4 linked regions of the Rhinolophus ferrumequinum genome follow. The protein of the gene in region 2 interacts with the protein of the main gene of each other region in a pairwise test. Links are inferred from orthologs where the notes say so. Each region holds a gene or a part of one and is shown on either strand. Other genes may lie near its edges. The genes, in order: UTP25, RUFY1, RAB39B and RAB3IP.

Region 1 (7,997 bases), on a different chromosome or scaffold from region 2:
AATTTCTACAGTAAACACGTGTTAGTTTTATAATTTTAAAAAAAAAGCAACCTTCATTTTGAAAAAACAAAACAAAAATATCCCTAAGTCTGAGGCAATGAATTTTTATCCTAGTAAAACTAATAAAATACTAGGAATGGTGTGTGACACCTTCAAGTATAGAAAAAAATATGCAGTAAAGAAAATAGGCATTAAGACAGTGAGATATAGTCACCTAGATATATTCAGACAATGAAATGCTACTCCAGCAATAAAATGTAATGAATTCATAATACATAAACAACATGGCTGAATCATGAGGAGTCAAAGAAGCCAGATGCAAAAGGGTACGTACTGTATGCTTCCAATTTTATAAATTTCTAGAACAGGCAAAACTAATGTATAGTGAAAGAAAGCAGGTCAGTGGTTGTCCAATGTTAGGGGTAGGAAATTGGCTGTAAAAGGACAAGAAGGAACTTTCTGGAGGCATTAGAGATGTTCTGTATCTTGATTGTGACAGTAATAATACAGACATATACATTTGTCAAAAATCATTGAGTTATATACTTTAAATGGTACACTTTATTGTATGTAAATCACACCTCAATAATGGTGATTTTAAAGTTAAAGACAAAAGTCACCTAGAAATCTGAGTGAGAAAGTTCCTTTATGTTTTCAATCCCAGCTCTTCTCTGAAGCTTTCCCTCGGTGGCATGTGACCACTTGGCATCTCTTCAAGATTGTTTATCTAGCTGTTCCATAAAAATCTGCTACTTGACAATTTTTGTATATTTGTGTCTACTTTCCATTAAACTTGGTTTCTCTTAAGGGATGAACAGAAGTCTCTCTAATAAACTGAGACCATCACAAAAACAATTATGGTTTCGTTCCTCTGAATCAGGGAAACTTTAACTAGGATTGATGAAAGTCCTGGAAATCCTAAGCAAAAATGTTTTTCTGGTGAGAAGGTTCTATGTTTTCATCAGATTCTCAAAGACATCACTGAAGCCAACAAGGTTAAGAATCTCTCTTTGGCTCCACGTGCTGTCACCCAACTCACAGTACAGGGCAGTGTGCCCATGGGGCAATCTGTCAATGGTCCTGGCACAGAGGATGAACCCACACCAAAGATACTTACTCTCCCGCGGTTCAGTGGACTCTGCCGCTGTTTCTTCCTCCACACTGACATCACTGTCACCATCTTCATCGTTCATTTCTGCTTCATCTACAATACTGTCTTCTTCTTCTTCCTCCTCCTCCTCCTCCTCTTCTTCCTCCTCTTCCTCGGAAACAGTCTTTAATGTGGCCAGTAGTTTGTGGTACCCAGAAACTTGTTCTGGTTCACTCTCTGCTTCACTTTCAGAACTTGAAGTATCTGAACTCTCTGACTAAAAGGATAACGGGGATTTTAAAAACCAAATGATATTGCTCTCATTGCTACCCTATAACTATTATCAGGCCAATCGTGTAACAGGTTCAGACTTTCCTATATAAAAATTAGCTCTTCAGTGCTCGCTTCAGCAGCACATATACTAAAAAATTAGCTCTTCTGCAAACACACAATCCTATCTATTTGGCCAAGCCCAGCACCAAATTTATTTAAAATAGCTCATCTAGCTAAGACCCTAGAAGCTCTTCATTTCTGAACTGCTAATGTTCCCCATGGGAAGAAAGCTGACATAGAGCTTTAGGCTATAAGGAGACCTAATCTATGTGTCAGGCACTTGGCCCATTTAAAGGAGCAACAGGAAAATTACAATACAACAAAGTACTGTAGGCTGGTAAGCCTCTTGAACAGGTTCTAATAGATTGATCTCTTGGGGCAGTTTCAAAATCCAGTTACTGCTGTAATTATCACAACAGCATTGTAAGACATCTGCATTCAAAATGAAGCAGCATTACTAAAATAACAGCTTACATCTAAAATCAAAAAGAGTGGAAATACAGCCAAACTTTATTATTACATATAATCTTAAAAGTAACAATCCAAAACCAACTATTATAAAGAAGGAATAAAGCTTTACCAGTTGACAAATCTGTGGTTTTGTTTCCTTTCTGGAAACCCTGAAAAGAAACAGGTAATGTTAAACTACAAGTATGTAGCAATTAGCAAAAAGCCTAATGATACAACTGTAAATGAAAAACGCAGAATATACCATTATAAACACATTATAACTACAGTTGACATAACTATAGTCATGTAAAAACTACACACGCACTGGGACAAGGATTGTAAGAGTAGAACAAGTTTATAATAACTTACAAATGAAAAGTTTCACGAGGTCACATGACAAATACATGAGTCACCCAACAACTGGCTCTCATCCAAAAGATGGCTAAATTTGGCAAATAAAAGACCTCGGGTTCACCTTTTCTAGCAAATTTCTTAATTAGACTATCCCTCTAATGTACTGATAAAACGGCCCAAAGTGGTGGTGTGAGCACCAAGATCGTCACTGAGAGGCTGGAAACGTACAACTACCAATGCAGCAGTTTCCTCATTGTACTTGGACAGATCAGTGGTGTCGGAGGCCCCCTCAAACAATTCTTTAAAAACACACACACCAAAAAACAATCTAGAAAATCTATGACCATACAATCCAGCCCACACACGGCGGGCGTGTGGTCTAGCATAAAGTGACAGGCTCAACAAAAGGTAGGAAGACGTGTGAAGAACCCCTTCTCAGGCGGGATGCCGCCAGAATCCTCCCCAGCACCAACCGGGCCAGACCCTGAGCACAGCGGACGCCGGGAAACGTGGGAAGAGGCGGGAGCGCCCCGTTACTTACCATCCCATGGAAAACCGGTGGACCAAATCCGGGGAAACGTGGGCTCCCACTGGGAAAAGACGCGGCAGCTCTGGCCCCAGTCATGCCCCTCCATACCTGTCATAGAAGGGATGCTCCTCGCCGAAATCCCGAAGATGCTTCTTCTGCTTTTTAGTCAGGGTGCTGAGCAGCTGGCTCTGGCTCCGGCTCCCGCGTTTGCCCATAGCGAAAAATCAAGTCGGTCTGATTTCAAACGCCGCGTTTCCCACCAGGAAGTTGTCTCGCCAACCCACTCGCATGGGCTCGCCGGAAGCGCTTTACGGCAAAAGCGAGTTGCCATAAAGCAGACCCGCTTTACGTCGCGCTTGTACGACCGTGTTGGAACTTCCTGGTCTCGCTTCCGCCTCCTAGCGAAGCTCTTTGGAAACACATGCACGCATGCTTACGTATTTGTTCTTTGAGTCCTAGGACGTTGGCGGGTAGGCTGGGGGCTGCGAGGGTTGGGTGATACGGTGGGCGTGCTTTGTGATTCTGTTTTGGCTGTGGGATTCAGCCTGCGGAAACATGCAATAGCGGAGATGGTTGAAGGCAGTGATTTCGTATTATACCATAATAAAAATACCAATTCAAGGTGCCGGCACATCTCACTTCATCCTCACAACGCTACACAAATAGGTCTTTTTAATAAGCCTGACACTGCAGATGAAACCGACGCTTAGGAAAGGTTACACACTAACAAGAGAGGAGATGGAAACTGAAGTCTGTCTGAGGCGACCACGGGCTATTACCCACGAGGGTCTGCCACATGCGTGTGCTATATCAAGAATCTCAGACACAAGACTGAGATCTCCGCTCTCACCCCTCCCTCATTTTCTGAAAGGGTTGGAACAACTAGAAACATTCTTCATGTTACAAGAGCAGACACACACAGAGAGGTAAAGTGACTTTCCTAAAATTACCCAGAAAGCCAGATGTTGGAAGAAGCAGTAGAACTCAACCCCATGTCTCACAACTAAACTCTGGCAAAGGTGGATGGAAAACTTGAAGGTGCAGTATCTTGATCATGAAGATACGTTCTGTATCTTGATCGTGGAGGTTGTTAACACCTTGTGTACAATTACCAAAATTAATCAAACTGTGCATTTAAACTTGGTGAATTTTAATGTATGTAAATAATAGCCTCAGTAAACAAAGAAGGAAAAAGCAAAAAACAAAACTGGACGCATACTCCAGGAACATGCAGAATGTGCAGGGCTACTTGAGACCACGGGATGAACACAGCGACCCTTTTCTCCTAATAATAACTTATAATGTCATGTTCTATGAAAACAAAGTGGTAATTCATAGACCTCAAAATTCACCTGAATTTTTAAGGTGAAACAGGATCCATCAAAGAGAGTGCTGGGCTCTGCTACTAGGGGTGTGTTTCTCTGGGAAAATCTGAGCTTTGTCCAATACCATGTCACACCTGCAGAAGTCGTACTAGAGCTGCTAGGATCCTATTCTTGTCAGTTCTAGTGACTATCTACTACTCTTAATCAGATTCTGGGATATCAGGGTGGGGTAGAGAGGGCAGGTAGAGGGAGTATCAAGGAAATATGCCAACAGCAGGTGGTGTAGCAGCTGGCCCAGCCAAGGAACCCACGAACAAACAGACTTCTGTCTTCTGTCTAATAAAAGGTACCGTCACTTATGTCAACAAAAGGCTGTTTGCAAAATGTCATCATATATTTTAAGGTGCTAACTATAGTAATACCCGGCTATAACAATAAAGAGTCAGATGTTTTTTTCTCCTCCCTCCCTATCCCAAATGTCCCAGCTTCCCTCCCCAGAGGCAACCAGTTTCTTGGTATTCTTCCAGAGATCTTCTATAAAAAGCTATACTCTTGAGCACTTGAAGTGACTCCTTACTCTCTCCTGGTTTCCATATCCTCATAGTCTTCTGGACAGGTCTAGACTGTTCCCAGGTTTAGGCAAGAATGTGTCCCAGCCCTTCCCAAGCGGTCTCCTCATTGGCTCACTGAGCAATGGAAAGGGGTCCCCTCTTCTCCTGAAAAAATTTATATTAGCCTTTAACAACATAAAAGGGGACCCTTTGTGAAATTTTAACGTGAGAGTCCAGAATTTGAACTTTTTTTTCCACACCTCCCGTGAAAATTCTCTTAGTAAAACCCACACTAGTGAAGTGTGAACTAGTGAAGGCCCTGGGAAAATTGTAATGAAGCAAAATTTGTTCTCTTTCTCCTTCCCACACACAGCCTTCCTTTTTCCTCCTCCAGGGTTTTCTTTTACCTTTACCCTCAGGCACTCAGTATTCTCAGGGATAAAGGCAGACCGGGAAATAATCTTTTATGCTCCTTCCTAGAGAGGTGTTTATCAATTGTTACTTTTCCCAGAGCGTTTGTAATTCCCAGGAGATTCCCCAGGATAATGATCTCAAGGGGTGGGAGAGAAATGACTGTCCCTTAAGACAAGAATATCAGAATAGTCAGGAAGGTGTTAATAATATTTTTAAAAACCTTTGGGAAATTTCAAGTATATACAAAAGTAGCCAAAATGGTATAACGCATTCCTATGTACCCATTACTCAGTTTCAACAAGTATCAACACAAAGCCATCTTGTTTCATATATACGCCCACCCAGTGCTCCTGACTCCCCTCTGCATTATTTTTGAAGCAAATCCCAGGCATTAAACTATTTCATCTGTAAATATTTTAGTATGCATTTTTAAAAGATAAGGGTTCTTTCTTTAACATAGTCACAATGGCATTATTTCACCTACAAAAAGTGATAATAATTATTTAATACCATCATATAACCAGTCAGTGTTTAAATTCTGATTGTCTCATAAATGTGGTCTGTTGTTTTTTGTTTGTTTGTTTTTACACTTTGCTGGTTTTATGTGTTCTGCTGTTCTGTATATTTCTCACAAATAGGTTGTGGGATCCAGAACTTTGATCAGACTTCATTATAGTTGGTATTTTATATTCCCATCAGAAGTATAATTTCTGGTTGCCTTTCATTGTGGGACGTTACCAGCCATTGGTGCTTAATGTCTAAATTTGTTAATTTATTAGATGTTGCATTCTATTAATAATTCTATCATAGGGGGGTGATGTTCTAATTCTATCATTTCTTCTTCACTTACTTGCTGGACTATTTCCATGATGACAGACATCTCCTTTATGTAAATTTGCGTTACCCCGTGGTATAGTTTACATAGGAAAGGCAGAATAAATGCTTGATTCTCTCCCTTCATTTACTAATTTTCAACACAAGGAGCTAATTCACTAGATCTCCTAATGGTGATTCATCAAGTCTTTGCTTTTATTTTTGGTGTCATTATTAACTCACAGAGTTATACAAATTGATGTGTTTTAATCCCTTGCAAACATTATGGTGTATATGGTTTGAGAGAGATTATTTGATATACAGCTCTGTATTTGAAAAGACAGATAAACAAACTGCTCTCTAATGCAAACTACAGAAAGTAAGCAGAGGTCTACCTGAGATTCTCAGTGGTATGGGGGTAGGTCTGCCTGAGATTCTCAGCGGTATGGGGGCACCCAACTTGAGGATACAGATCAGATAGTGGGTACGTTTGAGTTTTGAAACTTACATGGTAACAAGGGCACATGTGTTCAAGACATGTTTACAGGGAGCCGTATGTAATCCAAAGTATGACTCTCTAATGATGAAAGTCCAGACAGCTCAGCTACTGATCTGGGAAGATTCAGGGGATGGTGTGTGTACACGTGTGCGTATGTGTGAGTGTGTGAGTACACGCGTGCACACGTGCCCTGCATCTTCCTCCCCCAGAGGATTTAAATCAGAGTTTCCTTCATACGAGACCAGCCCCTCCACCACATGCATACACACGTGTCTGTGCACACCCCAAAGTAATCCAGCCTCTCCCTGAGAGTACTGGCAGAAATCAGTCTTTTGCTATCCTTATAATGAAATGAGCTTATTTATTTATTCAAAAAAAATATTTACTAACCACTGTGTGTCAGGTGTGCTAGCCGCTGAGGCAGCTAAGATCCAGGCCAGCCTCTTTAAGGAGTTTACAGTCCAGGTATGGATAAGTACACAGATCATCACAACACACTGTGATGAATGCTGAACTGACACACGCTGGTTGCTGAGGAAGCTAAGGACAAAGTTAGGGGCCCGGGGGCCTAGTCGGGGAGGGAGAATCCAGTGCAGTTGAGCGTTTGCCAGTCATATGCATTGAACATTAGTATTGACCTCAAAATTGATCTAGAGTCTAGAGCTTAGGCTGTATGGGTTGTTTCAGCTAACTTCATGAACAGCGTGTGTGTGTGTGTGTGTGTTCAAGACAGGATATGAGGGATATAGAACAACAGGAAATTAGAAAGCTGTGTAGTCATTGGATTCCACAGTATTTATTGTGTATGGAGCAATGAGCTATCTAGGTGGAGCATATTTTAGAAAACGAGATTATGTCTGCAAACAGAAAAGCTTTGTAATGTACTTAAATGCACTCTACATAACACAGGAATGTAAAATATTATTATATATAGTTCCTACCCTTTCTATTTAACTGTACCCACAAGAGGTACCTGTTGTCAAACCCAGAGCCTGGCATATAGTGACCTTTAATAAATATGTTTCCTCAGGTTTCTCAGAGATTGAGTTACATTAGGTCTTGCCTAAAACTGAAATAGTTTACCAGATTATGTTAATCTAATTAAGAACAAGCCTAGAAACTATGCTGGAGGGGGTAAAGGTTTATATCCCTCCCTCTAGTGGAGCATTGGTATAACTACACCCTGTTTTTCATATTTTCTGGCAAAGGCTCAGCATGCATACATACGTTCATTCATCAATTCATTTACTAAACAGTTCATTCATTCATAAATGAATACGTTCATTCATTCATTTACTAAACAGTTACTGTGTTCCAGGCATGATGCTAAGAATCGAGGATTTAAAAAGCTCAGACCTGGGGCCGGCCCCGTGGCTCAGGTGGTTGGAGCTCTGTGCTCCTAACGTCGAAGGCTGCTGGTTCGATTCCCACATGGACCAGTGGGCAATGGGCTCTCAACAAGGTTGGAGGTTCAACTCCTTGAGTCCCGCAAGGGATGGTGGGCTTTGCCCTCTGCAACTAAAGATTGAACAGGGCACCTGAGCTGAGCTGCCGCTGAGCTCCCGGATGGCTCAGTTGGTTGGAGCGCGTCTTCTCAACCACAAGGTTGCCGGTTCGACTCCCGCAAGGGATGGTGGGC
Region 2 (7,917 bases):
AGTTCAGTATGGTGTTATCTTGTACTGACAACAAAGGAAACTGTTTTTACACTTTTGTAATTGTCAGGAATATTCACTTATCTTAATGGCTAACTTAAGGAATTTAGCAATGTGAAGTGGAAAAAGTTGTTGTGCTTCATTTTGGAAGGAGCTGCAGCACAAAATAAAATTTGTCATGGGAGAGAACAGAAAAAGGCACAAATATGTACCATCTACTTAATGGCAAATATAATTTTAAAATCAAAGAATGCCTTCTCCAGTGAGTACCCACTGTGCTGGGCTCATTAATTCCATAAACATGTATGTTTTGCTATTCATCCTTTAGGAAGAGACATCACTCTAGAAAGCAAGATGTGGAACTTTGTGTGTATGTCCTGTGGTTTTCATGAAAACTGTGTAGATGAAAGGATAGCTACAAGCATACACACCCTTTGAAAGATCGAACAGGATTGAGGTCAGTTTCTGGAATGAAGGACTGCCTCTATACAAGTCTTCTTTAGTATGGTTAGATGTTTTTTTTCCCCCACCATGCACGTTTATTATCTTAAAAAAATAAATCAGGGAGGCTGGATGGCCCAGTTGTTTAGAGCGCAAGCTCTGAACAACAGGGTTGCCGGTTTGATTCCCACAAGGGCCAGTGAGCTGTGCCCTCCACAACAACTTGGAGCTGATGGGCCCTGGAGAAACACACTGTTCCCCAATAATAAATAAATGAAAGAAAGAGAAAGAGAGAGAGAAAGAATATTTAAAAAATAAAAAACCAAATAAGACAACTATGTGAATGCAATTGCTGTGGCCTGCTGTGCTGCTACCAGACCTCACGTGGGATAATGCTGTACAACAAATACTCAGAGCATTCCACAACATTCCACAGTGTTTCCCTTTAACCTTTATTACCCCCAATTTTTTTCTGGGATGGGGCCTGCTGACACTCGACCTCTGTTCCTTCACTGCTCCCTCTGACAACGCTGCATCCTCATCACTTATGGAAGCAGATTGGTGGGAAAGACACGAATGAGCCTGCTGAAGCGGGGCCACTGTCTTCTCCTGACCTGCTGTTCGGGGGCCTCTGCCCAGCCTGGTGCCCGGGTCCACCTCCTTTCGCCACCTCCACTCCTGTCCTATTGGATGGCTCCAAATCCCGGTGACCTTCGTGGACTAGCCCACAGCTTCTCCCAGCTGTTTCCCACATTTCAGTCCTTGTTCAGTCATGTTCACAATTTTTGCCAGATCTGAGTGGCATTTATTTAATATTTTCATTAAAATATTAAATCTAATTAAAAAATCCATACGCATATATTAAGGCATTTTACCATAAAACTATTTAGAGGTATCGAGGCATTGGGGTGTTGTGACTAACAGCATGGCTTGAGAGGCAGGTGTCTTGGTTCAAGTATGGGCTCTGCCATTTCTAAGTTACTCTTTAAGTCAGTTTCCCTCCTTTCTAAAACGGGGATAAAATGGTACCTATCACATGGGCTGGCTCCATGTGGAAAGGCGAGGAAGTCAGTCTCCCCTTCGTGGGTCCTAAGGCATTGCACCTTCCTACAGAGATGGGGACCACCCTCTGGGGAGGATGAGAGGCCCGGTTGCCTGCCTACTGTGCTGTGGCACTGCCAGCCTGGTGCGGCATGGCAGTGGACACTCTAAGATTCAAAAGGCAAGACCCCAACCCTGCTTAGGCCAGCAGTGCCCCAGGGTAGTCTGAGTGGGCCAGGGCGGCTGAGAACCTGTCCCACGGAGGCAGTGGAAGGTGGGACCACACGTGAGTCCGACTCCAAGACCCCCACACATGCTCCTTTGTTCGCTCCTTCACTTACAAAACACAAATTCAGAGATATAATTACTAAGAATTTCAAGCATGGGTCATTTCTCAGTGCCTGTCCCTGTTGGACCACATTAACCAAAGCCTGCATCGATTACACACCATGAAGCCAGTCCTGCTATTATGCAGGATTACAGTGAGGATTAAATGAATTATGTACAGATCTAAGACTAATAACTGGCACCCAGTAAGCACAATACAAGTGTTGGCTATTATTCATAGCTCATAAATGGAAAACAAGTATTTTTCAAATAGGCATTTGTTCGAATATTTATTATTCTGAGCTAGGCACTGTTCTGGGCATTGGAACATTTTATTCATCAGTGAACAGGTAACATTATTTGCTTACTACCTACCATGAACTATCTGAGAGGCCTCCAGAAGACCCCAGGCCTTGACTCTGGGACTGACTGCCAGTGGGTGGGTGTGCAAACACTCACTGACATGCACAAAGCGGGCAAGGGATTGGGGACCAGATTCCTGGGTAGAGCAGCCCCTCATTACCTTTTAGTCCTACTTTCCATTGTCAGAATCTGAAAAGAAGTCAGATTTTAAACTTTACTCCTTAATCTTTCTTAACCACTGAGATTCTCAAAATTCACTATTCTGGAAAAGTTGCCAGTGGGTAGGACAGAATCAAGAAACCTCCAAGGCACACTAATGCTTCTTAAAGAGCACTCCAGTCTTTAGTCAGCTCTGCCCCACAGCACTTTCCTATGCAGAAGAAAATGTCCCCAGTGCACTATGCAATACGTAGCCACAAGCCCCCCGTGGGCCACTGAGTCACACATTTAATGTTTCCATTCTTCTCACTAATGACAAGGGCTGAAAGCACTGTAGGGAATCACTGGGTGAATCAAAACTCCCCATTTTACTGGCTGGGAAATGTGGTGACTTGACTCCTTGCGGAGAGTGGATGCGCTGTCACACCTGCAGGTGTGAGCTGGGCTGGCATTTTGAGATTTACGGCAGAAGTCCTGGATTTACTTAAGTGCTTTTTAAATCCCATACAGATAACCTGAGCTCAAACTCGTACATTTTCTTAAGGCCCACCAATGAATATAACGACGTTGTCTGGGGAACACAAGTGGGAGTCACCACCCAAGCCACGAATTCATCTCTGCGCAGCCGCAGAGTGTAGAGAAATCAGAAGAGAAGCCAGGCGCGTGAACACACTGGCTTCTTACGACCAGTCTAACAGGGTCTTGTCTGCCGCCCTCCTACAGCCAACCACCCCCTGACCCGAGCGGAGAACGGGCGGGACGCGCTCGCCGGACCTACCTGCCGGCGCCGCGCCGTCGGCGCCGCCGCCCGCGCTGCCCAGTCCCGCGGCCGCACGCAGCGCGCTCCCGCAGCTCGCCGACAGGTTGCCGGTGGCCCTGCGCGCCAGGGTCAGGATGGGCGCGGACCAGCCGTCCGCCGCGGCCCGCCGTCTCGCTGCACTCCGCAGCTCGCCCGGGCCCGGCAGCTGGCTCCGGTCCACGATCTCGAACTCTTCTCCCGGCTCCGGCTCCTGCGCCTGCTCCGGCCCTGGCCCGAGCTCCCGCCCCGCCGAGCAGCTGGCTCCCCCGTCGGCCATCTTGGCCGCGTCACGTGGCCCGAGCGGGCCGCGTGCTCGGGGCGGGCGGGCCGGCGCTCTCACACCCTTGCTGTCCTGTTTTCCTGTTCGCGACGTCGGTCTTCTTCTTCACCACCCTCCCTCCCTCCCTCCCTCCCACTCTAAGTAGGTTCAGGAAAGTACCGGTCATAACCTAAGGAGCGCCCCTATTCCCACCAGTCGGGAGGACTTTTTTCCGTGAAGTTACTCTTGGTCCCAGCCTAGAACACAGCCCACATGGCCTTAGTTTTCTTTGTGACACGAGTTCCTCTTTTTTATTTTCATTTCATATTTTGCTTTTTCTATTTCACTTTTCTGCAGCAGTCTTCAGAACAAGCAAAAGGGCGGGTAAGGAAACGGACTGGAGAGGTAGGAAACAGAAGTTTTAAAAAATTACGGACCTAATGCCACAGCTTGGCAGAAAATCCACTGAGGTGGATTGGAAATCTGAAGGTCCAGATTCTGCTATTAATTGGCTAAAGGGGGACAATAACAACCTACCTCATTATTTAAGTAAGATTTTGCAGTAAGGAGCACGGAGCAAACGTTAGCAATCGTGATGGCTGTTACCCAACTATGCGGCTTAGGCAAGGCACTCTTAACGACTTATAGCCTGTTTTGGCACTTGGAAAAGAAGGGAATTTGACAAAGTAGAAACTCAAATTTCACCAGCATTTGACACTTTTTTTTTTTTTTTTTTTTTGCAAAGTGCTGCACGTGGGCACCATCAAACAAGCAGAACTGTTTGGTTTGACTCCCAGAGTGCTTACATTTTAAATTTTCAGGTTGTTGCAGATATCTAGAAATCAACCGGTTTTGCATAAAAAGCTGGATTTTGGCTGTCCCTTGAAGCATCGGAAGATTTGGCAACTCAGTATGTTTGCTGATGGCGGCGAACTAGTGGAGTGGGCAGTGGCTGCCCTTCAGAAGCCCAGGTTCTCTAGGCGTGTAGGTCCAGCCCAGTGTACTAGTCATGATCTGCCTGATCCCTGAAGGCCAATTGTTTTTTGTGGAGTGGGGAGTGAGTGGGGGAATTGGTGGGGATGACATTTGAGTTGTCACAGTGATTGAGGAGTGGAGGGGCGGATGGGGTGTCGGGTAGTTTGGAATGACAAAGAGTTGTCCAGGATCCTTCAGGACTCTCCTTCCCCCTGGACATTCATGTAAGTGCAAAGCTTGTTTATAATGATCAGAGCCTGGAGCCTAATTCCATTTTGCATAAAAACATAAACTATTCTTGAGGGGAACAGTTTTAATACTATATCAGGCTAGGTTATGCTTCAGTAACAACCCCCAAATATCAGTATCTTCCCATAACAGAAGTTTGTCATTATGCCGGGCTGTTGGAGGTTCTGTCACTTGGAGCAGTTTTGCATCAATAGTAAATGCCCCAGCCTTGAAGTGATTATTCCCTTATACACATTTCATTGGCCAAAGCAAGTCACATAGCAACTCTAACTTCAATAGAATTGGGAAGTTCAATCCTATTAGTGGAATAGGAGAACTGGGAATATTGGTGAACAGAATAATGACTACCAGAAATGCATTTTGAATTTTCCCAGAATGCAACAAAATTGATTTGTTCAGAACCTAAAAGTTATTAACCGTTTCAGAACATCATGTCACCCACAACAATGCTGGAGATGTTAAGATGATGCCAGTGCTGTCTGTCACAGTCATGGCTATTTTATATAAAGGTACAAATAGTTACATTGCTTTTAGTGGTAGTTGTGCCTCATTTACATATTGAAATACATATTATGGAGTTATTTCTCTTAGGACATACTAATTTTTTGAGATTTTGAGTGTTGGTAGGTAGGTTTATTATCTATGAATTTCATTTCAGAATTGTAAATGGGGCATTATAGAAGATATACCGTGTTTCCCCGAAAATAAGACCTAGCTGGATGATCAGCTCTAATGCGTCTTTTGGAGCAAAAGTTAATAGAATGAAGAGGCAACCTGAAGAGACCAGAATTACCTGCTGGGAAAGATTGGTTTTTGTCAATTGGGGGAACTTGAATGTGGATATTAGATATTGCAGAATTAATTTTTTAAGTATGATAATGGATTGTGGGTGTGTAGGAAAAGGCCTTTATTTTTACAGCTGCATTAGAGTATCAAGTAGTGATATGTTATGATGTCTATAATTTATTTTAAAATACTTCAGCAAAAGAAAATAGATGATGCAAATGTGGCAAGAGCTTGACACTTTTGAAATCTAGGTAACAAGTGTACGAGAGTTATTACATATTCCCTCTACTTTTCTGAATGTCTGTATTTTCATAAGAAAAAGTAAAAAGATATGTAAAAAAGTGAATCTGTTTGCAACAGCAGCCAATGTTCCATGAAGTGAAAAATCACCAAAAAAGGCTTGACATTTTTTTTTTAAAAAATGAAAACATAAATTAAGAAAATAAGTATATTTGATCTTATATTTAATAAAATGTAGACTATGCTTGCAACCATGTGCTGGTTTTTAGAATGAATACAAAAATGAACAAATGCTGATTCTTTTGTATAATTTTTCTGAAAAATTACCTGATATCAAGACATAGCATCATTCATTTTAGCTGATTTATGGTGGACTCAGAAAGAGGGTCCAAAACTTAGGCTTCATCTTATTTCTCAAGTTCTCTTCAATCTTTTATAGACCTATCATATCTCTTTTTTTCCCCTGTGGTTCCATTTCCATTTTAGTTGTATCTGTTTGCACATAGCTAGTACTCAAGCGAATAGGCCAAAAGCAGTAAACTAATCCTGTTCACAATGCTATTCATTCTTCTGGCTGCTTTCATGGGATTGCTTATTGGAAAACACAAGCCATTTTATGGTATTATTACTCTATACTGTGAGCCTATCTGAGCTCACTCTTTACTTTTAATATAAGTTGTAAATTCATTATTTTTTTCCAACCATTCTGTTTTGAAGTTCATCAGCGTTGACTTCCTTTTCTGCCGACCCTACGTGTAGGGGCTTTGTGTGGGAATTGAGGGGGACCTGAGCATCACTTTTGTTTACTCGTGAAATCTTGCATCCTGTGCAAGATGCACAGTTTCACTGTACAGTTGATTGGCCTTGTAGACATCTGCCAGCTGGTGAGAGACTGGCTGGCCATCGGGTCCGTACTGGGGACAGTGCTTTGGGCTTCAGCAGGAAGTGAGCTTTGAGGAGGGACTAATTTTATAAGCGGTAACAGATTTTATAAGGGGTACTGCTAACATACTCATTAGTGAATATTTTAATTTTATGAAGACTTGCTTCTCTAAATGGCCTTGTAACTGCAGGGACTAGGGCAAAATACCCACAGGTGAATATTTTGAGTTTAAAACTTGTAGCTTGTTGTGGTGGCTGTGACTGACTGAGATGCAGGTGCTGTTTCTGAGATGGCATCCATCAATGTCTAGCAGGTGAAAGCGTAATCACCTAATAGGAAAACTCTCCTTACTCACTATACTTCTGATGCTAATTGCGCAGAGTGGGTGCAGACCCCACAAGACTGCAGAGGCCAATCACTAGTGTGGGCCTCTGGTACTTTTGACCGACTGGCTATCAACTGGGGATTTGCACGACCCCCTCCTTGGATTTGGCAATTTACTAGCATGACTCACGGTATTGAGGAAAGCACTTTAACCGTTGATTGCAAAGGATACAACTCAGGAACAGCTAACTGGTAGAGATATGTGGGACAAGCTGTGTGAGACAGATGTGGAGTGGCTATGCCCCTCTGGGCACGCCATCCTCCCAGCACCTTGATGTGTTCAGCAACCTGGAAGATCTCTGAACCTCATTGTTGAGGCTTTTTATGGAGGTTCCATGACTTGGGCAGGATTGATGAAGTTGGGTGGTTGAACTCAATCTCTAGCCCCTCTCACGTCCCTGGAGGTCCAGTGGTGGGGATGAATGTTCCAACCCTCTAATTACATGGTTGATTCTTTTGACAACAGCCCTCATCCTCCCTGAGTCACCTCATCAGCATAAACTCAGGTATGGTTGAATGGCACTTATTAGAAATAACGAAAGATACAACTATGTCCCCCATTACTCAGGAAAAGTACACGGGTTTTAGGAGCTCTGTGCCAGGAACCAGGAGCAGAGACCAAATATTGTTTCTTATCCTTCTCCTCCTCCTCCCCCTTCTTATTCTATACAGTGTTTCTTTATGAACAAATTGTACCACACAAATCAGGTTATCTCTTCTATCTGTATTTACAGAAGCAACAGAATATTTTACTAGGAGATATTCTGTACCTGGACCAGACGACTGGAACATGGAGTGGACATCTAATGACCAAGAAGGTAAAACTGGCAACTGTTGTGCAACTTCTCGGAGAAGATTCGAGTGTGTTTTCTACGTCTTTGATAATAAGCTGCTCACCAGCAGGGATAGGATAACACGTTAAGGGGGTGATGTGGCCAGAGAAGGGGTGATGTAGGACACCACAGGGAGCTAAACCAGGACAAGGAGCAGAGGCATGTCAGCTTAGGTTAAACA
Region 3 (7,497 bases), on a different chromosome or scaffold from region 2:
AAGGCCATGCCCAAACTGCTGTGCAACCGAATACAAATGTCACTCAATAATAATAATAATAATAATAATAATAATAATAATATGTGAATTTTCAATTGGGCCAAGTTTTGAGATGGCATCTTCTACAAATGAATGCTCATGACACAGGCATTTCCTATCGATTCGGGTAGAAGCACAGCTAACTCTCCCACCCCCACATCTGAATAACTGAATGAGATGTCTTGTTCTGCGAAATGGGATACCTAAGTCAGTTATCATGAGGCAAAATGAAATAATGGATGTTAACGTGTTCTGTGATCTGGAGAGCTCATTACAAATTCTAAACATTTTTAAAAATGACTTTATAATGATTGAGAAAATGCTCATAAGTATATAGGTATATTGTAACACACTCCATTTTTTCCCATCTATCATTACCACGTTTGCCTTTCTATTTTTCTATTATTATTATTATTATTATTATTTTAATCTAACAGTGGTCCTCAATCTCTTCTGTGAGGAGAAACACAATTCTGTTTTTTTTTTGCACCCAGACCATTAAGAATAGGAAAAAGAGATAGGTGGTCTGCAAAGGCCTTGGGCAAAGTGCCTCTCAGCCATACTTCCTGCCATATTTCAGAGAGGCTGAATACGGAGCCACCAGCTGGAAAAAAACTGCCTAAATCTTCAAAGTTTCCCCTTAAAATGACATGATTTAGTTAAAGCATTATAATTAGAATATTTCTAAAACCTATTATACATTTGCTGTGCTTCTTAAACAGAAGAAACCTCATCTATTTTAACTTCTTGATTTGAGGAGATTCATTATCAATATACATCATGGTACTTTAGAGCTTATTAGAGGGTGTAGAATTATTTGCTTCTACAATCACTTGCTTTAGACTACTGTGCTTTTTGATTTATGTCTATTTTTAGGTTTCATCTGTTTTCTTGGATGAAGAAGATAAATAATGAAGGACTCAATAGCTTATAGCTTAGGGCAAATGACTCAATGATAACAGAGCAAACATCCAGGGGATTAAAGTCCCAACTAGACGATGGTAAGAGCAAACCTTACAAATGATTCCAAGTCTCCAGAACCTGGCAAATCAGCCCCAGGAAAGGAAGCTGTTTCTAATTCCCTTATGTTTGAAGATTCATGGATAATGGGAGGTGTACCAGAAGATTCGACATGATCAAACAAAGGTTTTGCTTTGTGAACAGCTTGGCTCAAAACATCAATAAGCAAGCTCTAGAGCCCTTTCAAAACTCTAAAATACATTATGGTATTAGTATTTAGGAAGTAACGAAGACCTTTCTAAGCACAACATAAGGCTACATAAAAATTAAGACCTTCTGTACATCAAAAAGATTTTCTTAAAGTTCAAAGACAAACGACAAACTGGGAAAATATTTTACAACATATGTGACAGAAAAGCATTAATATTCCTAATCTAAAAAGAACTCTTACAAATCAATATCACCCAATAATAATGATCAGTGGATATGAAAAGGCTGTTCATAGAGATATTCCAATAAACACATAAAAGACACTTCACTTATAATATGCAAAATGCATTTATAAGTTCAAAGTGAACCTGTACAAGGATATTTGCCAGGGTGTTGTCCGTGGAAGTGGGGAGTTGGAGACAACTTAAGTTCGAGTTAGCTCTTCTCCTTACCCCTTTTCAACTACCTAATCAGTATTTTCTATGCTCAATTACTGTTCGATAAATAAATCATCTTGAACATGGGCTATTGAGTCCTTTTGTTCTAGCTCCTGATGCTCTATGTGCCTTTAGCTCAGATTGATCCCTCAAAGTTTTCTGTGTACATTGCTCTCTCCCACTTCTGTCTTTACACATGCCGTTTCCTCTCCCTGGGCTTTTCCTGTCATCCTCGTCAGGCCTCATCTTTGCCAGGTAGCCTTCCCTCCTCTGTATATATTATACATAGAATTCCAAATGATACATACTACAAATGAAAAGCAAAGGGTTGTACAAGAAGATTGAACCTGTTCATTGATTACTCATTAAATGCTAAAAGTTATAGTTGGGAGTGAGCACCCAAATATAAACAAGACAGTCTTTTGTGTAATTGCTGATTATCTACTTCTCCCCACTATGCTAGCACACTTCTCAGAGGGAAGGGCCTGTGTCTGTTTTGTTTACATGGCATCTCCTTGTGTGAGTTTCCTCAGAAAGAAGCCTGATGCCTGGCATGCAGTGGGGTGATCACTGACTGTGCGCTGGTTGCAGGAAGGAATGAATCCCCAGTACCTCTTTCGTATGTATATGAATACTATATCTGTATCTGAACCTATGTCTATCTCTGTTTCTGTCTCCATATCACCTGTCTGTATCCTTCAGTTATGTTGGGATGACCTGGGAACATTTTTAAAAGTACGTAGCATAGGGACCAAGATTGACGAATTACAGTGATCAATTCCAGATGGTTTGTTAGCCACCAAGGGGCAGGTTGGTGGAGTTGTGGTGCAAGCAATACGTATTATTGACCGGCCTTCCCTGCCAGGGCGCTTCTTTCCCTGCACCGCACGCGCGGGTCGCTGAAGGTGGGCTTAAGCAGAAACCCCTAGACCTTCGGTAACGTCCCTAAGGGCCGCGACCAGGACCGGGAAGTCCTCTTTCCCCAGGGGCTGTGCACGCTCCGAAGACCCTCCCACTGCCCGCGGGCCCGGGCTGCGCTCCCACCTGAACCTCTCTTGACCCGCGGTATCCCAGATCTGGAGCTTGATGCGTTTTCCTGGCTCGATCTCCACCAGACGGGAGAAAAAATCCACCCCCACGGTGGGGTCCGAAACCTGGGCAAAGCGGCCCTCGGTGAAGCGGCGGATGAGACAGGACTTGCCCACCGTGGAATCCCCGATGACAATGAGCCGGAACTGGTACAGCCAGATGGCTTCCATGGCCGGGGGTCGGCAGGTCTCCTTGGCCCGGGCCGTGTGCGGCGAGAGGGGGTGTCTCGCCCAGGCCTCGGAGAGCGCGGCTCGGTCCGGATCTAAATGCACCGCGAGCGCATCGCTTGCCTGGGAGCCCGAGGCGAGGTAGGCCCAGGCGCAGGGAGAGCTGAGGGATGGATGCTGCGCTCACTGAGGTGATGAAATGGCAGCAGCATCAGCACCACGCACTCTGACTCATCACTGACAACCGGGCTACTGTAATCCCCCGCGTAGACGCGACGTCCGCGGCCGCCGCACTGTCTGTAAAAGGAGCGCACAGGAAAACAGCCGAAAAAACGCCCCTTCCCTTCCTTTCTAATTCCTCCGCCCACCCCCTCTTCTTAATTAAAAAGGTTATCTATCTATCTTTCAAATTGCAAAAGTAATATTTTTTCATTAAAACTGGGGAAACAATACAAAAATGTACACAGAAAAGAAAGTCCATAATTATCTGCCCCCTCCCTCCCCAAGATATTAACATAACGCTTGGTACATACTCTTCCTACGGATTTCCATGAAAATGTATTTACGTCTATATGTATGTGTGTGTATACACATATAGACATATACATATATAATAAAACATATGTATACATATACATTGATTGCTTTTTAATTTTACAAAAACTGACCCATTACTCTGGCACTCGCTTTTTCCAATTAACAAAGAATCATAGACATCTTTCCGTTTCCAACTAATCTTAGTTTGCCATGACAATGCTGCAATAAACATTTTCTTAAGTATAGTCACGCATACATTATTCCCATGGAATAGACTCTTACAAGAGGGTTTAGTAAGTCAAAGAGCATGCGTACTTTAATGGATATAGGCATTACATGTAATTTGCAAAAAATATTTACCAATTTAAATTCTAGTCAGCAATTTCTGAAAAATCCATTTCTTTGCATTATTTCAAGCATCGTATGTTATATTCTTTCATACTTCTTGCCAATCTGATGTAGTTAAATAAAAAAGTGTCGCTGGTTTATTTTACATTTCCTGACTACTAATGAGCTCTTGTGCAGTGGCCATTTGCATTTCCTCTGGGAATTGCCTCTTTAAATCCTTTGTGCTTTTCATATGTAATCTTTTATAATGGTTTTACTCATTTTTTTTTCATTTTTTAAACAGTTTTATTGATGTATAATTCACATACCACACAATTCGGTCACTTAAAGTGCACAACTCAATGAAGTCATAGAGTTGTGCAGCCATCACCATAAATTTAAAATATTTTCATCACCTCAAAAAGAAGCTTCTACCTTTTAGCCAACATCCCTCTGTCCCTCTTCCCTCCTAGCGCTAGGCAAACACTAATAGTTCTAATAGTTTTTTGGCAAAATCTTTCAGGTTCTCTATATATAGAGAACGTCATCTGCATCATGTCATCTGCAAATAATGAGAGTTTTACTTCTTCTTTTCCAATTTGGATACTTTTATATCTTTTTCTTTTCTGATTGCTCTGGCTAGGAATTCCAGTACTATGTTAAATAAAATTAGGCATCCTTGTCTTGTTTCTAATCTTAAGGAGAATGCTTTTACTAGATGAATATACTCTTAGCTATGGGTTTGTCATATGTGGCCTGTATTATGTTTAGGTGTGTTCCCTCTATTCCCATTTTGCTGAGAGTATTTTTTTTTTTTCTCTCATAAATGGATGCTGAATTTTGTTTGTTGGGAGTTTTTTGATTATTGATTCAATTTCATTAGTGGTAATTGGTCAGTTCAGATTTTCTGTTTCTTTTTGTTTCAGTCTTGAAAGATTGCATGTTTCCAGGAATTTATCCATGTCTTCCAGGTTGTCTAATTTGTTGGCATATAATTGTTCGTAATATTTTCTTATAATCTTTTGTATTTCTGTGATATCAGTTGTCATTCTTTCATTTCTGATTTTATGTATATGGGTCATCTCTCTTTTTTTCTTGATGAGTCAGGTTAAAAGTTTATCAATTTTGTTTATCTTTTCAAAGAACCAGCTCTTGGTTTCATTGCTCTTTTGTATTGTTCTTTTAGACTCTATTTTGTTTATTTCCTTTCTGATCTTTACAATTTCCTTTGTTTTAATCATGTTGGGCTTTGTTTGCTGTTCTGTTCTTTTTCCAGTTTCCTTAGGTGTAAAGTTAGGCTGTTTGAGATTTTTCTTGTTTCTTTAGGTAGGCCTGCATTGCTATGAATTTATTTTTTCGGACTGCTTTCACTGTGTCCCATAGATTTTGAGTCAATGTGTTTTCATTTTCATTTGTGTCAAGGTATCTTTTGATTTCTTCCTTGATCTCATTGTTGACCCATTCATTATTTAGTAGCATATTATTTAGCTTCCATGTGTTTGTGTGTTTTTCAGTTTTTTTTCTGGTAATCGATTTCTAGTTTTATACCATTGTGGCCAGAGAAGACACTTGATATGATTTCAATCTTCTTAAATTTATTGAGACTTGTTTTGTGGCTTAACCTGTCATCTAACTTGGAAAATGTTTCATGTACAGATGAAAAGAATGTATATTCTTCTGCCTTAGGGTGAAATGCTCTAAAAATATCAATTAAATCCATCGGGTGTAGTGTGTCATTTAAGTCTGCTGTTTCTTATTGATTTTATGTCTGGTAGATCTGTCCATTGGTGTAAATGGGGTGTTAAAGTCCCCTACTATGAATGTATTACTGTCTTTCTCTCCCTTTATGTCGGTTTATATTTGCTTTATATATTTAGGTGCTTCTATGTTGGGTGCATAAATGTTTATGAGGGTTATAGCCTCTTGTTGGATTGCTCCCTTTATCATTATGTAATGTCCCTCTTTGTCTCTTATTATAGCCTTTGTTTTAAAGTCTATTTTGTCATAAAAGAATTGCTACCCCAGCTTTTTTGTCATTTCCATTTGCATGAAATATCTTTTCCATCCCTTTACTTTCACTCTGCGTGTGTCTTTCAATGTAAGTGAGTCTATTGTAGTCAGCCTATGCATGGGTCTTGTTTTCTTATCACTTCAGCCACCCTATGTCTTTTGATTGGAGCATTTAATCCATTTACATTGAAAGTGATTGTTGATAGATACATAGTTATTGCCATTATCATTCATTTTTATGTTCTTCCCCCACCCTTTTTTCTTCTTAAAGAAGTCCCTTTAACATTTCCTGTATACTGGTTTGGTGGTGATGAACTCCTTTAACTTTTCCTTGTCTGGGAAGCTTTTTATCTCTCCTTCAATTTTAAATGATAGCCTTCTTGGGTAGTCTTAGTTGTAGATCATTGCTTTTCATCACTTTGAATATTTTGTGCCAATCCCTTCTTGCCTGCAGTTTCTGTTGAGAAATCAGCTGGAAATCTTATGGGAGCTCCCTTGTAAGTAACTAGTTGTCTTTCTCTTGCTGCTTTTAGGATTTTCTCTTTGTCTTTAACCTTTTTCATTTTAATTATAACGTATCTTGGTGTGGGCCTCTTTGGGTTCATCTTGTTTGGGAACCTCTGCACTTCCTGGGCTTGTCTATTTCTTTCGACAGGTTAAGAAAGTTTACAGCCTTTATTTCTTCAAATAGGTTCTCAATCCTTTGCTTTCTCTCTTCCCCTTCTGGTACCCTAGTAATACGAATGTTGGTACGTTTGATGTTGTCCCAGAGTTCCCTTAAACTATCCTCATTTCTTTTTGGATTCTTTTATCTTTTTGCTGTTTTGATTGGGTGATTTATGCTACCTTTGCGTGAATTCATCCTTTGCTTCATGTAATCTGCTGGTGATTCCTTTTAGTGCATTCTTCATTCATTTATTGTATTCTTTACATCTGACTCATTTCTTTTTTATCATTTCTGTGTCCTTTTTTATGCTTGCTATCTCTTACTTGAAGTTCTTGAGCTTCCTTATAACCATTGTTTTGAATTGTGTATGGTAGGTTGCTTGCCTCCATTTTGTTTAGTAGTTTTTCTGAAGTTTTCTCCTGTTCTTTAATTTGGGGCAGATGTCTTCATTTTCTCATTTTGGCTGCCTTCCTGTGTTTGTTTCTATGTATTAGGTAGATCTGCTATGTCTCACCATCTTGGCCAGGTGGTCTTATGCAGTAGGTGCTCTCTGGGGCCCAGTGGCACAGTCTCTCTGGTCACCTGTGCCAGGAGTGTCCTTTCTGTAGGTTTTGTGTGCCCTGATGTTATAGTTGAGCCTTGATTTTTATTGGCATGTCCCTGGGTGGGATTGATCCTCAGGCTGACTAGCTGTGTGGTATTACCATGTCCATAGCTTACAGGCTGTTGTGCAGGGGGCTTATCCCAAGAAGCAGGATTCAACCTAGTGAGCTCTGGTGCCTGTTCAGACCACCCTCAATGTGTGCTCTTGTGGGGCTAATTTGGTGGTGCTCTGCTGTGGTTTGAAGCTGACCTCCAGGTTTGTTGGTTCTGGAACTTCTTGGCAGGGTCTCTGGTGCAGGCCCAGGTCATCCCCTGCCTGTGACCGGCTGGGGACTATCTGGTAGAAGCTACAAAGCCATCTGCAGTTGTTCACTGCCTATGGTGGATCTGGAGGCAATTGGGTGAGTCCACATTGCAACCCGAGGATTGCTGCGACAAATACTGGGCCTGG
Region 4 (8,269 bases), on a different chromosome or scaffold from region 2:
AGTTTGAGGAACTTATAAAAGATACAGGAATAATTATATGGCCTACCTTTCTGACTCCTTATGAATATTTTCCTTTAATACCCACTGTGACTTGCAGAGCAGATATTCAATGAATATCTGATTTAAAAAAATCTCTGGTGACACATGAAGAATTATTTATTACGTTAAGTATCTCATGAGAGCTAAATTAAAAACAATTCTTCAGCATTACAACCTACACACGTGGAAGTAGGAGAGCGCAATGGCTAGGAGCATGGACATTAAAACAAACTGCCTGACTAATCTAGTCCTGTAACTTCATTTAGCTGTGTGATCTTGGGCACGCTACCTCTCTCAACTATAAAAAGGGATGGAATTAGGGATTACCTAACTCCTAGGTCACTGTGAGAGGAAATTTCTATAGTGCTTAGACCAGAACCTGATACATGGGAAACTCTACCCAATGGTGCCAGTATATCACCATCATCAGAAAACTGGAATATTTTTTAAGCCAGAAATACAAATGATAAGAACACCTTTCAGAAGGTGTGTAGACCAGGAATGGAAGAAGCAAGCACATTAAGAGTTCCATTTTGGGCAGTCACACTCAGTTTTTAAACCTGGCTCTGCCATTAATCAGCTATATCACCATTGGCAAATAAGTAACCATAGGCAAGTTATTTCACCTCTCTGAGCCTCAACTTCCTAAACTGTAAAACGCAATCCCACCTATATCCCAGGAATGTCCCCAGGACTAAAGGAGACAGGGACCTAAAGCAAGAGCACTGGGCCTGGCCCACTGTCAAGTTTATATGTCTCCCTTGCCCCACCTCCTCACATCCCATGTGGAGTATCTCCCTAAATTTCATCCATTAAAAACTTAATATTAGGTTGAACCATATGAAAAACAGGTGACGACTAGCAAATTCATATGGTTCCATCTAATACTGTATCAATTCACAAATGGAGAAAATAAACTCAGGGAGGTGAAGTGATTTACTCAAGGTCACATGCACAGTAAGTAAAGGGAGCTAAAACTTACAAAAAGAATTGTTTTAAGATTTAATAATTTTTCATTTGGCCAGCTAATTGATTCAATGAGTCCTGCTCAGGATGAGAGGAAAGGAGGTGAATACTATAACCACAATAATGTATGTAAAACTACTGTAACCTACAAGCTTTTGTTCTGCCATATTAAAAAAAAATGATGGGGAGCTAGATTTCTAAGAATCTTTCAACTTTAAAAGTTATTTGTGGAGTGTCTGTATGTGTGTTGGGGTGGTTGAGGGTTTAGGGAAAAATAGAGGAAAAATATTAAAGGAAGAAGATACATAAGGACACTAATTCAAAAAGTACAATTGTATCTAATTAGAAACCTGGCTGATTACAAACCCCACAAGCAGCTGAACATCAAATATCCATCCAGATGAGAGGTTAGAGGTATTCAATACCACGGAGTGGGTTGACTGCCAAACACATAAAAAAGAGCTGTATTAAATGTATCCACTTTTGGGGGTGGCCGGTTAGCTCAGTTGGCGCTAATAACCCAAGGTTGCCAGTTTGAGCCGCGCATGGGTTGCGTCCTCCTTTAAAAAAAAAAAAAAAATTAGAAGGAGAAATAGATTAAGTAACCTAAAAAAAAACAAATGTATCCACTCTGATTCAAAAAGGTATGCACTAAGGTAGTGGAAAAAGAAAAAAATTAAAAGGCTTTTCTTCTAACAGCAAGAAATACACCATTGTAGTAAAATTGTACATAACTGCTAAGTTTTTTCTATACATTCCACAAGGGCTTCAGGATTAGATCACTTAATCCATATTTGGGATACAACGTCCACCCAAAAATGAAAAGTCCTATCAAAATGCACAGTACTAGTAAATAAATAACAAATGTTAACAGAACAAGGCCCCATAAAACTGGTGGAATATTTAACAGCATCAGATATTCACTATGATAGGTCTACAAATGTATTCTGCCTCTTCTCCTTGATTTGTCATTCACGTTTTGTTTTTTTAACTGCATGAACAAAAAATGAGGGTGAGGATAATGAACAGAAACTGGGTCTTTCAATAGATTTACAATGGAACAGTTTTGCTTTAATCCTCTTATCGGCCTCTGCTCCAATTATGTAATCATTCCATGGCAAAAGATTACACGGATCTTTCCCTACACTAAAATGAAGGAGCTGGAGAGAGAAACACAAGAGTGTGAAACAGGTAGCCTTTGGAATATGTTGTATTTCCTCGAAACTAAATTGTTTGCCTCTTAGGAATCGGTATTAACTCAGCGCTCTCAATTTACCCTTTAGCCATTTACAGATTGTTTTTTTTAATCCCTTAACCACTGGCTACTCTTCTCGCGCTGTAGGTCCCACCAAACACCATCACTTCCAGAATCCATTAAGCTCGCTTTTCCCCCGGCGGTCGGAGCGAGATGTCATCGCTGGAAGAGCAATGTAATCACAATAATGTCTGTCTGTGCAGCTCGTCTCAACTCCCCGAAACAAAAGTCAGGCTGAACTGGGCTGCCTCCTACGGCACGACTCCAGGGCGCTTGTTCTTGCCCACCAGGTTTCACCGAAACCTCCCGAGAGTGACCTCTGCGCCTCGAGATGGTGCCTCACACGTCTTTCACTGAGACCCCTGGTCCACGCCTACAGCTTCACCACGATCCGGCTCCTGCGCTGAACCGAGCTCCAGACTTACTCGGGAACTCTCTTTCGACTCCCCTCCGCGACCCCGTGCCCTCAGCCGCGCGCGCCCCGCCTACAGGTAACCCAGCTCCGGGCTCCCAGCCGTGGGTGCTCGGGACCGCGCAGTTAATGAGTAACGCGCCCGTGCCCGGGGAGCGGGGGAGGAGCCGCCGCCGCCCGACGTCCACCGGCGGTCCCTGGGGGTGCCCAGATGCCCAGAGCCCCGCGCCTCCGCCGCCGCTTACTGGGGTCCCGGAGCCCGCGCGTGCCGAGGCGAGGGCGCGCGCTGGCCGGGCCAGGCATCCGGGTCGGATCTCCGTGCACCGCACCCTCCGCCGCGCCCGCAGCTGCACCTGCCACGGCCGCCCCCCAGGCCGGCTCGCGTGAGGCGGGCGCCAAGGGGGGGCGGTGCTCCGCGCCGCGGGCCTCTCCGTCCCGCGGCCGCACTCACCTGACGAACCCACGACGGCCGCTGCCCGCGCTCAGGGGCGCTCACAGAACCCCACAGAGCGCGCCCCCAAGCAGCGAGAGGCGGACGACCGCCGGCCGACGCCGCTACACTTCGCCGCGGCGGGCGCACTGCGCCGGGAGCCGCCGAGGGAGCGTGGGACTGCGCCTGCGCCGTGAGCGGGGCCTGAAGCGGCCCGGCCCCGCCGTGGGGAGGCCGGCTGGGGGCGGGGCTGGGGCGGTGCCTCGTGGGGCCCGAGGGGCCTGCGCGCTCCCGCGCCCCCTGGCGCCTAGAGGTGCTTTTCCCAGGTACCGGGGTTTGGGCCTCAGGTGTTGCTGAGGGCGGTTTCCCGGGGAACGAGCCCGAGTCGGCGCACAGCCTTGTTTCCCTGGGCCCCATAGGAGGTCTTGGGTTAACTTCGAGTGTGCTAGGCTCGGCCGGAGACGGAAAAAGAACCTTCGATGTTAGTTAACAACTGCTAGAACCAACCTGAGAAACTTGGTGTCCATATAGACCTTATAACGTGCGCGTGTGGGTGTGTGTCGGGGGTGTTGGGGGTGGGGAGTGGAGAGTCCGATAGAACCCAGATCCCGTCATCCCAGCTGCTGCTAGAGCATTCGAGAATGTCGTTTCTGTACCTGCCTTCTCTCATCTTTTGTGTCAACTCTATCAAACTTCCACACTTCTTTAGGAACTCCAGGTAGGAAAAGTGAAAGTACACAACCAAGCCCCTAAAATCTGATCAAAAAGAGCAATCACCGCGTGTGTCTCTGTCTAACTAAAATGGATACGTGCAACTTATGTAATACACACATGGAATAGGATCATCATTCTGTATATTGAGTACATCTATTCGAGGCAGTGAATAAGAGAGTAGGTTATGTGTATGGCTATAGGAATCAGAATTCCTGGGTTTGAATTTGCCACCTACTAGCTGTGTGACCTTGGGCAAGTTAATCTTTAAATAGCCCCAATTTTCTGAACAGTAAAGGAAGATGGTAAGAGTACTTACCTCACTGAGTCGTTGAGAGATTAAATGGTTAAATAATGTAAACACTTAGTGTACCGCATGACACAGAGTGCCTGACGAATATTAGCTGTATTATTAATAACATTATTACTCTTATCATCCACCTATAATCCAAACAGAAACCTAGAAAGTCGTTATTTACTCATTTATACCACATTTCCCATATATCAAGTCCTATCCATTCAAATTCCCAAATAATTCTTAAATCTATCCTACCTCATATTCACTGCTGCTAAATATGACCTTCCTCATTAATAGACTCCTAACTACTCTTCCTTATACCATGTCGTTCATGTCATGTCATGAATGAATGCCATTCATTCATCAGACATTTATTGTGCTCCATCTATGTGCCTACTGCTGGACAAAGGGACATAGAAACCATTACACATAATCTCGACCACAGACTCAAACATAGTGAGGGAGACAAATACACGTATGTCAATTACTGTGAGCTTCTTGAGAACAGGCACAAGGCCTGACATGTAGTAGGGCTGGCTCAATAAATGCAGAATGGGTGAATGACATACATGGAGATGTACTCTCTTGGTATAGAAGTGTTTACAGGACCAGTCCTATAATATATTCTACATAGGACCTTAGACATCGTTCATCTGTAGGAAATAGTAAGCGATAGCCATAGGTCTAAATCCGATGTTGGTTTATTTACAAATCACCCACTATCCATGAGGCTATTTGGAATCTATGAGTACTTACAGGTGTTTTCTCTCACATACTTAATCTGCCATCATAGTTTGAGAATGCAGAGAGTGATATGGGTAGTTACCTACAATAATACTTTAGTGTCCTTGCAGCACAGAAACCAAAGTACATTACAGAGTGTTAGATACTCAGAATCTCAGCCTGCAAAATATATAATGTGTTGTGAGCATCCTAAGTTAGATTGCCCAACCATAAGTTAAAGAGATAGATACTTCACCACTTTAAAAACATGATTTTTAGTGTGCTGAAAATCACACTATATTTTGTAGTGTGATTTTGTAGTGTGCTCAAGTTTGCCTCCTTTCTCTTTCGTTGAAAAATAAATGACAGTATACAACTAATGTCAAATACAACATATAAAATAATATTATATATTTTTTTAAATCTTAAGACTTTCCCATCCATACCTGGGACCAGAAAACAAAGGAGACGAGTGCAGATATCTAGAAATTTAAAATTGAACAAATCATTGTAAGGTTGTTACCCTTAGTTATAATTTTTATTGCTTGTTTGCCTCTGTTTTATTTTCAAAATTCAGAAAATGTTGTATATTTACATGGTACTTTCCAGTAATTATATTTACATGGTACTTTCCAGACTTCACATAAAGTATGTCATGAGTCCTTTACAAAAAAATAATTTGACATAGGTATAAAGGTAGTTATTCTTCATTGTTACAGATGGAGAACTTGGATCACCAGAGTCAGGGCTCTGGTCTGCAGAATGCAGGGTAATATATTACAAACAAATGAAGTTAAAACTCTTTTTTTAAAAAAAAAGCATACTGGATTTCATGTCCAGCAGTATGGCAGACTAGATACTGGTTGATTCTCCCACCAAAAACAACTAAAAGTGCTAAATAAAATATATGAAACATCTTATCAAACATATCAATCAGCTGACAAGAACCCTCAAGGGCAAAACTAGGTAAAAGCAGGAACTCAGACAGTAAATAATAAAGAGGAAAAAAAAGGGGGTGTGGTTACTGGGAAAAAAGTACCAAGGGCAATCTATCATTTCCTTGTCTAGCAAAATAGTTACTTGTGTGTCAGTGCTCACTGCTCACATTCCCATAAAAATTTGCCTTCGCGACTCCTGTACAAAAACAGAACTGTCTCTAAAGTATCTTTCATTAGGTCACTTATATACAACTCTGCATTTCAGGCCATTTTTCTAATGTTGGAATGAACGACTGAAAAGATCTGAGGGCTGAGAGAAAGGAGCTTAGACTCTAAAAAGTATGGTTTCCTTCAAAAGAGTCACTTTAACAAGCTACATACGTATAAGGAAATGTTTTGAGAATGGGCTTTGGATCCCGTTTATTTCACAGACACACACAATTTGCCATCCATTAAACACATATTTATTGATTGCTTCTCTCTGCCAGGTACATAAATAATCTGCAGGAAGAGGAAAGAGAAGGAGAGGTGAGACTTAATGAGAGGGCTTCCTGGCTCCCCACAGTGTTTCAGTCCCGGGTTCCAGTCTATTTCTGAGACTTCCCTCATTCATCATTTCCCATGTGTTCTGTGAGAAATCCTTGTATCCTTAAAATAATGCCCCCATTTTGCTTAGATTTTGAATGGAAAATACAACATATAAAATAATATTATATATTTTTTTAAATCTTAAGACTTTCCCATCCATACCTGGGACCAGAAAACAAAGGAGATGAGTGCAGATATCTAGAAATTTAAAATTGAACAAATCATTGTAAGGTTGTTACCCTTAGTTATAATTTTTATTGCTTGTTTGCCTCTGTTCTATTTTCAAAGTTCAGAAAATGTTGTATATTTACATGTATATATACAATGTTGTATATTTATAATCTTTTCATGGAGAGATTGGTTTCCATAGCAGTTAAAAACTCAAAATAACAGTAACTTAAGCAAAATAAAATTTATTCCTCTCCTGCAAATGTAGGAAGTCCAGGGTTGATGTGGTGGCTCTCTGATCAACGTGGACACAGCCGTCTTCTCTCTTGTATCTTCACCATCTTGAACATGCAGCTCCTGCCTTATGGTCCATGATGGCTGCTCAAGCTCCAGCTATCACATCCTTATTTCCAGAACATAGAAAGGAGATAGGGGAAGAAAAGAGCACGCGCCTTTACTTAAGAACATGTGGAGAAGTTGTATACATCACCACACTTACACCTATTGGTCAGAACTTGACTAAGTGATGTTCAAACATGTAGTCTCTTTTAAGTGGCCATGTGCCCAGCTAAAAATCAGTGGTTCTAATACTAAAGAAGAATGGGAGGACAAATACTGGAGAAAACTAGCAGTCTGGCTCATCATCAGAGATCAGACTTAGGGTCAAAGAAACAGTGATGGGGTAGAACATACAAATAGAGCAAAGACGTTGTAAGGAAAACATGCAGTGTGTTCAGGGATGGTGAGCAATGCAGATTAGTTAGCACATGGAACAACTGCAGGTAGATAAGCCTAGAAAGATACATGGGAGCCAGATTGTAGCTCATAAATGTCCATGGGAGCCAGATTGTATTTCATAAATGCCATGTGGTGGTCAGAAGAGCGTTCCTGTAAGACTTTGAGCTGGAGAGTGAAATGATCAAAACAGTGCTTTAGGAAGAGGAACGTGGTGGCAATGCCGACAACGTACTTGAGTGAGGAATGACTAGAGGTAAAGAAATTAGATAGGAAGCTACTATGAGATAGTGAGTGCTTATATTGCAATGAAAACAGGCAAGGAAAAACATTTCAGAGGATGAATTTGTCTGACGCAACAAGTAATTAGATCCTCCCTCGCTCCCTCTCTTTCATATTCAGCATCGTTATCCTTTTGGGGATCAGCACAATGACTTTATTTGGGGAAGTACACTTTCACCATGTTCGGTTCACATGATTCAAATGGAACTGAATTCCCCCCCCCCCACTTCAAGGTGAGCATGTGACCCACGCATACCCAATTCAAGAATCTTGGTCTCTGGTCTCTGGGATTAGTTCATAATAAGCAAATGACTCAAGCAGGCAATGACAGTAGCTGGCAATGGAGAACATGGCTGAGAATGGGACTGACAGGGAGTAGGCAGATCTGAGAGGTAAAAAGACCCAGTGTGAGTCCTGATCACGTTATTTGACGTCCTGGATCAAGTTGTGACTGAAGCTGAAGCACCTGAACTTTTTAGTTGTATGAGACAGTAATTTTCTCTTTGCTTAAGCCAGTCTCTGTTGGGTTTTTGGCCACTTGCAACTCAATATACAGAAAAAAAGGCAAAGAAAGCATCGATGATAATTCCAAGCTTTAAAAACAGTGTAGTCTACCTTTCTCATACATAGTATTAATAGACTTGACTCTGATAAATTTTATCTGTTCCAAAAAAACCAACTCTGCATTCAAAGAGAGGATATTTGGTATAACTGGGAATGATCA

Evidence for each region.
Region 1: the proteins of RUFY1 (region 2) and UTP25 interact in binary tests that used the Homo sapiens proteins (3 or more experiments, as listed by UniProt). The link is inferred for Rhinolophus ferrumequinum from reciprocal best matches to the Homo sapiens genes RUFY1 and UTP25.
Region 3: the proteins of RUFY1 (region 2) and RAB39B interact in binary tests that used the Homo sapiens proteins (3 or more experiments, as listed by UniProt). The two-hybrid records come from large-scale screens. The link is inferred for Rhinolophus ferrumequinum from reciprocal best matches to the Homo sapiens genes RUFY1 and RAB39B.
Region 4: the proteins of RUFY1 (region 2) and RAB3IP interact in binary tests that used the Homo sapiens proteins (3 or more experiments, as listed by UniProt). The two-hybrid records come from large-scale screens. The link is inferred for Rhinolophus ferrumequinum from reciprocal best matches to the Homo sapiens genes RUFY1 and RAB3IP.

The regions. Positions count from the first base shown.
Region 1 is NC_046305.1:21,754,116-21,762,112, forward strand, and holds the start of UTP25 (U3 small nucleolar RNA-associated protein 25 homolog), read right to left. Parts: upstream 3,075-7,997; 5' UTR 2,972-3,074; coding exon 2,865-2,971; intron 2,044-2,864; coding exon 2,004-2,043; intron 1,368-2,003; coding exon 1,118-1,367; intron 1-1,117. UniProt on the Homo sapiens protein: Component of the ribosomal small subunit processome for the biogenesis of ribosomes, functions in pre-ribosomal RNA (pre-rRNA) processing. Essential for embryonic development in part through the regulation of p53 pathway.
Region 2 is NC_046307.1:2,763,996-2,771,912, reverse strand, and holds the start of RUFY1 (RUN and FYVE domain-containing protein 1), read right to left. Parts: upstream 3,445-7,917; 5' UTR 3,405-3,444; coding exon 3,107-3,404; intron 1-3,106. UniProt on the Homo sapiens protein: Activating adapter involved in cargo sorting from early/recycling endosomes. Regulates retrieval of proteins from endosomes to the trans-Golgi network through interaction with the dynein-dynactin complex.
Region 3 is NC_046284.1:5,419,277-5,426,773, reverse strand, and holds the start of RAB39B (ras-related protein Rab-39B), read right to left. Parts: upstream 3,084-7,497; 5' UTR 2,906-3,083; coding exon 2,691-2,905; intron 1-2,690. UniProt on the Homo sapiens protein: The small GTPases Rab are key regulators of intracellular membrane trafficking, from the formation of transport vesicles to their fusion with membranes.
Region 4 is NC_046293.1:65,679,011-65,687,279, reverse strand, and holds the start of RAB3IP (rab-3A-interacting protein), read right to left. Parts: upstream 3,324-8,269; 5' UTR 3,124-3,323; intron 3,040-3,123; exon of another isoform or gene 2,918-3,039; intron 2,752-2,917; exon of another isoform or gene 2,553-2,751; intron 1,446-2,552; 5' UTR 1,372-1,445; intron 1-1,371. UniProt on the Homo sapiens protein: Guanine nucleotide exchange factor (GEF) which may activate RAB8A and RAB8B. Promotes the exchange of GDP to GTP, converting inactive GDP-bound Rab proteins into their active GTP-bound form.